Linked DNA regions of Canis lupus familiaris. The protein of the gene in region 1 interacts with the protein of each later gene in a pairwise test. Links are inferred from orthologs where the notes say so. Each region holds a gene or a part of one and is shown in the gene's direction. Other genes may lie near its edges.

What was found. The genes of interacting proteins can lie anywhere in the genome.
Region 2: the proteins of DDIT3 (region 1) and TNFSF12 interact in binary tests that used the Homo sapiens proteins (3 or more experiments, as listed by UniProt). The two-hybrid records come from large-scale screens. The link is inferred for Canis lupus familiaris from reciprocal best matches to the Homo sapiens genes DDIT3 and TNFSF12.

The regions. Positions count from the first base shown.
Region 1 is NC_049231.1:1,963,474-1,967,801, reverse strand, and holds the start of DDIT3 (DNA damage-inducible transcript 3 protein), read left to right. Parts: upstream 1-1,509; 5' UTR 1,510-1,611; intron 1,612-2,290; exon of another isoform or gene 2,291-2,373; intron 2,374-2,469; exon of another isoform or gene 2,470-2,619; intron 2,620-4,328. UniProt on the Homo sapiens protein: Multifunctional transcription factor in endoplasmic reticulum (ER) stress response. Plays an essential role in the response to a wide variety of cell stresses and induces cell cycle arrest and apoptosis in response to ER stress.
Region 2 is NC_049226.1:32,687,718-32,690,373, forward strand, and holds the end of TNFSF12 (tumor necrosis factor ligand superfamily member 12), read left to right. Parts: intron 1-1,557; coding exon 1,558-1,682; intron 1,683-1,854; coding exon 1,855-2,106; downstream 2,107-2,656. UniProt on the Homo sapiens protein: Binds to FN14 and possibly also to TNRFSF12/APO3. Weak inducer of apoptosis in some cell types. Mediates NF-kappa-B activation. Promotes angiogenesis and the proliferation of endothelial cells. Also involved in induction of inflammatory cytokines.

The DNA.
Region 1 (4,328 bases):
AAACTTTCCCTCTCGTAACAAGGCGCCCTGTCACCCAGCCTGCTTCCCTCTGCCTGGGGAGGAGGGGAAGGCGCACGAAGTAGGAAGGAACTTGGGGAGAGGGCGGGCGGAGGGTGGGCGAAGCACTGAGGGAGGGAGGTGAAGAAGGCAAAAGTCAAGCAGTGCGAGGGAGAGACGGCGGGGGCAGGTGAGGGCGGGGGGGCGGGGATGGGGCCGGGAAAGGGGCCGAGGACGCGGGGGGCAGAGGGTAGGGACAGCAGGGGAGGGGAGGGGGAGGGGCGGGGGGGCCGGGCCCTGCACTCACCGCGGCCCATGGCTCGGCCGGCCCCGCCCTGCGCAGTCGCGGCCCAGAGGGTGAGTGGGAGGGAGTGGGAGGAGGGTCGGCGGAGCCCGAGCCTCCGGTACGGCCCCGGCCGGTCCTAGCAGGAAGCGCCGCCGCCGCCGCCGCGGATCACCGAGCGGCCTCCCGCGCATGCGCCATGGGGGCCAGGGGCAGCCCTGGGGATTCCGTTCCCAGAAGGCACCGCGCAGGCTGCCGCCGCCGCCGCCGCCGTCGCTGCCGCCGCCGCCGCCGCAGCCGCCGCCGCCGCCGCCGCCGCCGCTGCCCGGACGGGAGAGGGGCGGGGCCGGGCCCCCGCCCAGCGGACAACGACGAGCCAACAGGAGGGGCCGCAGTGCGCATGCGGGAGCGCGCCTACCCCTCCCCCACAACCCCCCATTAATCCCCAAGAGAACAAACACCCCACGCGGCCCCCCCGCCCTCCGCGGAAGGATCTGAGCCTCTTCCCAGGCCACCGGCGGCCAATCCCAGCCCTCCCCGGGGAGGGGCCCCTTCCAAAGCCACAGTCTGTCGGGGGAGCCAGGAATGCCGGGTCCGGGAGGGGCCGGCCCCAAAAGATGAAAGTCGCGACTTGCCCTGCCCCGCCCCAAAGGCTTCCCGGGTAGTGTGCTGGGACTTGACCCGCCTCCCCAGGTCAACATGTCACAACAGGACCTCCGCCTGTCAAGTCACATGACCTCTGCCTGTCACTGACAACCTGGTCATGTCTTTGGGCCAGGAGAGACCATCTGGTCCAACCCACCCCCACCCCCATCTACTGAAGGGGAAATGGAGGTCTGGAGCAACGGAGCAGGCCCGGCCGAGGACCTGTCACCGTCACACCACCACCTAAACCTCCTTGCAGCCACAACCGGCCTTGTGACAGATTCTACTTAACTCTGGCTGCCCCCGTGAGGGTATGACAGTGAATACAACCGGCCGCCACATGGCATCTTTTTTCTCTCTAATGGCACAAGAAAAACGTTTGCATTTTAAGCGATGCTTTTCACTTTTGTTTAAGCTGCCTCCAAGTTCATAGTGCTCTCGTTTTACCTTCACAACTCGTCATCCTTTATTTACAAACAAGAACGGTTGTGGCACAGATATTAGGGGGCAAGTAAAGGGGCAGGTGAGGCCAGACTCTGGGCTCCTGACAACCCGGTGCAAGGCGGCTGCGCGCTCAAGTGCACCCAACGTCCCAGGCAACGAGGCTCTAAGGTCGCCCGAGCACCGAGGCGGCAGGCGGCGGGTGCACGGCTCCTCACGCAGGAGTCACAGGACCTGCGCGGCTGGTACAGCGAAAAGGGCGGGTCTTGATCCTTGGTGGAGGCACCAGAGTACGGGGGGGGGGGGGGGGGAGGCTGAGAATCGCGTCCACCGGGCCAAGTCCTGAATCCTGGCATGCTGAGCGCTCATCAGAAACTTCACAAAGATAAAAGTTAGGGGTGCTTTTCGGCGAGGAGCTGAAAATGACCATCAAAAGTACTCAAGTTCCTCGGCCCCTTCTGGGGGAATTAGGGAGCTAAACGGGATCTTTCTATGCGCCTACTCGAGGAGACGTTAGGCGGTCCTGTGGCTGCATGCAAACTTTCAAAAGAGATTGGCTTAGAAGACCTCGCGCCCACTAACTAGGAGGGGACCGAGCAAAATGGGAGCCCCCCATGCAGACGGCGAGGCGGGGGCTAACGCCAGGTGGGCGGAATAAGGGCGCCGAGGAGGACGAGCCGCAGCGCGGCTTCGCAGGCAGCCTGAGGGCGGCCACGGTTGGGAGCCGTTGGGGCCGTTGGGAGCCCGGCGCTGGCGCCCCGCCCTCTCCTCTCCCCCACCCCCCCGCACCGCCCACCACCCTCGTCGGCCCCTGCGCGTGCGCGCCGAGACACCGGTTGCCAAACATTGCATCATCCCCGCCCCCCTCTCCTCCCCTCCTCCCCTCCCCCCCAGCTCTCCCCTCCGCGCGCGCGCATGACTCACTCGCCTCCTCCGCGGAGCCTCGTGACCCAAAGCCACTTCCGGGTCCGACACCACCTCTACCCCCGGGCCGGCGGGAGCGAAGGGGGCGGCGCCGCGGGGGCTGCTGAGTGGCGGGCGCGGGGGGCGGGGCGGGGCCAGCGCCGGCGTGCCGCGCCCTGATTGGCAGGCTTGCGGGCCCGCCCCCGAGGGGAGGGCAGGGCCTCCTTAAAACATCCGCGCTCGGGCCTCCGAGGTCAGAGGCTTGAGTGTAAGGCACAGAGCGGATCATGTTGAAGATGAGCGGGTGGCAGCCACAGAGCCACAGTCAGAGCCGGAACCTGAGGAGAGAGGCGAGTACCGATCCCACCTGCTCTTTACCCTCTAGTCCTCGGGGATGCTGGTTGTCCCTTCGAAGTTGGGGCATCAGCTGCTCAGGATGCGGCCCCACCCGTTCCCCGACGAAGTTAGTGACAGTTCGAGGGAGGGACGGGGAGCATCCTTTATCCGGGAGTGGTGCTTACAGACCTCTCTTCCCTCGGACGGGAGCGGCGCCCCACCCTGCCCGGAGCGCGGGCCCGGCTCTGGGCCGTCGGGCTAAGGGGTCCGGATGCCCTCGGGAGACTCCCTGTCTTCCGCTGCTGCCCTAGGCCGCCTCCTTGGTCCTGTCCGGTGGGAGGCGGGGCGGCAGGACACTCCCCCACGCCGAGACGCCTGGATGGCTCTGGCTCACGCCCTTGCCGCCACTTTCCCACCAGCGGCCCTGCCCCTACCCCACCCCCAATCCTGTCTCAGCCCAGCGTCTCAGGGCCAGAGTGGCCACGTCGGTGGATGGAGCTCCTGGGTCCTGCACAGGACAGCCATTCCACACCCTAACGGAGAAGAGAACCTTAAGGAGACAGACTCCAGACTTTGGGAGGAGGAGGGATGCCAATGGCTAGGGAGCAGAGATGGGTTTTCCCATTCCCCCAGAGGTCCCGGGGGCCTCCTGCACAAGAGAGCATTCTGGATCCCTTAAGTGTGGGAAGCCATTTGGGGTCTCCCCAGTGTAGGGTCCTTCCGCAGGGATTTGTCCCTGCTGCTTTCCCCGCGTCCTGCCTCCCAGCTAATTTCTGTGTAACCGTTGCATCAGGCCAGCCCCCTGTTTGGCTCTGCAGCCCTCTGGCCTGGGGCCCCACTGCTGATGAAAGCGGCATCCCACACGCTGGAAGGCAAGGAGGGTCCCCCAGGGAGGACAGCCCTGAAGAGAAACACTCTGGGAGATATTGCATCTCCAGTCCCCAGGGCTGGGCAGCTGCTGCTCTGCCTCTGGGCTTCCTCCTCCCTTCCCTATGAGACACTGGGGAGAATTCTTTCATTCTTCACAAATTACTTATTACACACCTGCTATGTGCCACACATTTTAGGCCCAGGATGCATCTACGAACAAGGAAAAGACCTGTTCTCACAGAGCTTACATTTCGTGGGAAAAGGTGCACAGCGAACAAATATAGAAGTGCCAAGGAGAAAACCAAAGCATGGAAGGGTAGTGAATGCCCAGGATGTTTACCTTGAGTCATTAGAGATTCTCTCACAGAGGTGACATTTAAATGAAACTTCTGAAAAGAGGCAAAGTAGTAAGCTGTGCAGATTTGTGAAAGGAAGAGCTTTCCAGGAGAAAGAACAGTGAGAACAGAGGTCCTAAGGTGGGAGTGTGCAGAGTTTAGGGAGCAGGCCAGCTGGACGGACTAGAGGGAGAGTGGTCAATGAGAAATCCAGGGCAGGGAAGGAGATTGTGTGGGGCCTTCTAAGCCATATTAAGGACCTTTAGCCTTTAATATTCATGAACTTTAGTCCTTGAAGAGTTTTGAACAGACTGACAGGACCTGACTAGAGTTTTAAAAGGCTCACTCCAGGGATCCCTGGGTGGCGCAGTGGTTTGGCGCCTGCCTTTGGCCCAGGGCGCGATCCTGGAGACCTGGGATCGAATCCCACATAGGGCTCCCGGTTCATGGAGCCTGCTTCTCCCTCTGCCTGTGTCTCTGCCTCTCTCTCTCTCTCTCTGTGACTATCATAAAAAAAA
Region 2 (2,656 bases), on another chromosome or scaffold:
TTCCCTGGTCGTTGATGGCTATGCAGGAACCAGGGTGGCCTGGGGAAGAGACGAGAGGCAGGGCTGGGGTTGGCTGTTTGGAACTGAGGGGGCCAGGGCAGGCCTGTCAGCTGAGCCCTTGCACAGAGGGAACAAGAGGATGGCAGGAGCCCTGGGAGTTGGCCTGTGTCGTGGTAGATTGGAGAGAGAGACCAGGGTGGCCCTGGGGAGGACCCAGGAAGCCACCTGACATCCTGCTATCGGTTTAAAAAAAGAAAATAAAGATTTTATTTATTTGACACAGAGAAAGAACACAAGCAGGGAGAGCAGCAGGCAGAGGTGGAAAGAGAATTAGCTCTAGCCTTTTTTAATTTGTTTTGCGGTACAGTTTTATTGAGCTATGCTTCACATACCATACAATTCACCCGCTTCAAGTGTGCCAATTCGGTGGGTTATTTACTCTTAGTCTGTTCACACAGTTATGCAGGCATCACCATGGAAAGAAGCCCTGTACCCTGTAGCCAGCACCCCTATGTCTCCCACCCACCACCACTCAGAGCTCTAAGCACCCACCAATCTACTTACTGTCTCTATGTATTTACCCGGAAATTTCATAGAAACCTCATAATATGTGGTCCTTTGGGACTGGCTTCTTTCACTTAGCATAATGTTTTCGGTTCATCCACATGGTAGCAGTTCTTTTCGGTGGCTGAATAATACCCCATTGCTTGGCTACGCCAGACTTTTCCTTATCCAGCCATTGTTTGATGGACATTTGTGTACCATTTGATTACTTTCATTTTTAATTTTTTTTCAATGATTTTATTTAATTGACAGAGAGAGCATGAGTGGGTGGGGGGCATCAGGCAGAGGTAGAGGGAGAAGCAGGCTCCCCACCGACCAGGGAGCCCGATGTGGGGCTTGATCCCAGGACCCTGAGATCATTACCTGAGCTGAAGTCAAGATGCCTATCCCACTGAGCCACCCAGGCATCCCCCTTGTGATTAGTTTTATTATTTATTTATTTATTTATTTATTTATTTATTTATTTATAGATTTTATTTATTTATTCATGAGAGACACAGAGAGAGAGAGAGGCAGAGGGAGAAGCAGGCTCCCTGTGGGGAGCCTGATGCGGGACACGATCCCAGGTCTCCAGGATCAGGTCCTGAGCTGAAGGCGGCGCTAAACCACTGAGCCACCCGGGCTGCCCTAGTTTTAATTAGGTACTGTATGACTCAGGTACAGTATGTGGGCATTCTCAGAGTGAGAGAGGCACACGGTAGAGACACAAAATATCGAAGCCCCCGCGCTTCTCCTTCCACCCGGCTCTTCCCCCCCCAGAGGTGGCTGGGGACAACTTGCTCCTTACTGCTCTGGTCACACAAGTGTGGCATTTCTTCCCATGATTTCCTCTGATGCTGCAGGGGTTGTGGCTCCTCCCTGGGCCGCAGGGCCGTCTCTTCATCTCCTGGGGTAAGAGGGCCCCCCCAGGCCTATGAATTTGCAGAGGTCCCTGGGGATCATGAGAAGGCCCTGCAAAGGGACTGTCCCCAATCTCTGAACCCCTGCATTCAGGTGTGGATGGGACGGTGAGTGGCTGGGAAGAGGCCAAAATCAACAGCTCCAACCCACTGCGCTATGACCGCCAGAGCGGGGAATTTATAGTCACGCGGGCTGGGCTCTACTACCTGTACTGCCAGGTAAGCCCCACCTGGCTCCACGGTAGGGCAGGAAGCGGGGGCCCCAGGTTGAGGGAGACGGAGAGGGTTTGGTTCAGGGGGCAGGTTGGGGTGGGGAGCCTAGGGTCGGGGCCCGATGGGATCCTGGGGTCACCAAGGACCCCGGACTCTGCGGCCTCCTGCCGGCCCCCAGGTGCACTTTGATGAGGGGAAGGCTGTCTACCTGAAGCTGGACTTGCTGGTGGATGACGCCCTGGCCCTGCGCTGCCTGGAAGAGTTCTCCGCCACAGCCGCCAGCAGCCTGGGCCCCCAGCTCCGCCTCTGCCAAGTGTCTGGGCTGTTGCCCCTCCGGCCCGGGTCCTCCCTGCGGATCCGCACCCTCCCCTGGGCCCATCTCAAGGCCGCCCCCTTCCTTACCTACTTCGGACTCTTCCAGGTTAACTGAGGCGCCCTGGGGGCGCCCCCACTGCAGCTCCCCCCACCCCCTGCCCTGACCTGCCTGCCCTCTGCAGGCTGCTTGGACTTGTTCACCTGTTTCCGTGCCACATACATAATCCTCTTCCCCTCTGACACCCCCATCCTCCACCTCACTGGCCCCTGAACCCCTGGTCTTTTGAAGCCCCCATTTATCTCCTGACTTCCTAACTCTTGGCCAACCCCCGCCACCCCCCCTCCCCCCCAACACCAGCCAAAGGACACTGTGTCTATTCTGGGTGAGAATGGGTCCCTAACCTCCCCCCACTTCAGGCACTAATCAGGGCTAGACGCCAGGGCGACTGGGACACGGAGGCCGGGAGTTCCCATACGCGAGGGCTGAGAACAGGATGAGCTCCTTCCCTGTGGATTTTTAAAACAGATATTATTTTTATTATTATTGTGACAAGATGTCAATAAGTGGATATTAAAGAGAATAAACCACAGTCTCTCTCTTTACTGGGGTGTGGGGAACATCGCTCAGAGGAGCTGGGGGCTCCATGGGAAGGGGGCCTGGGTAC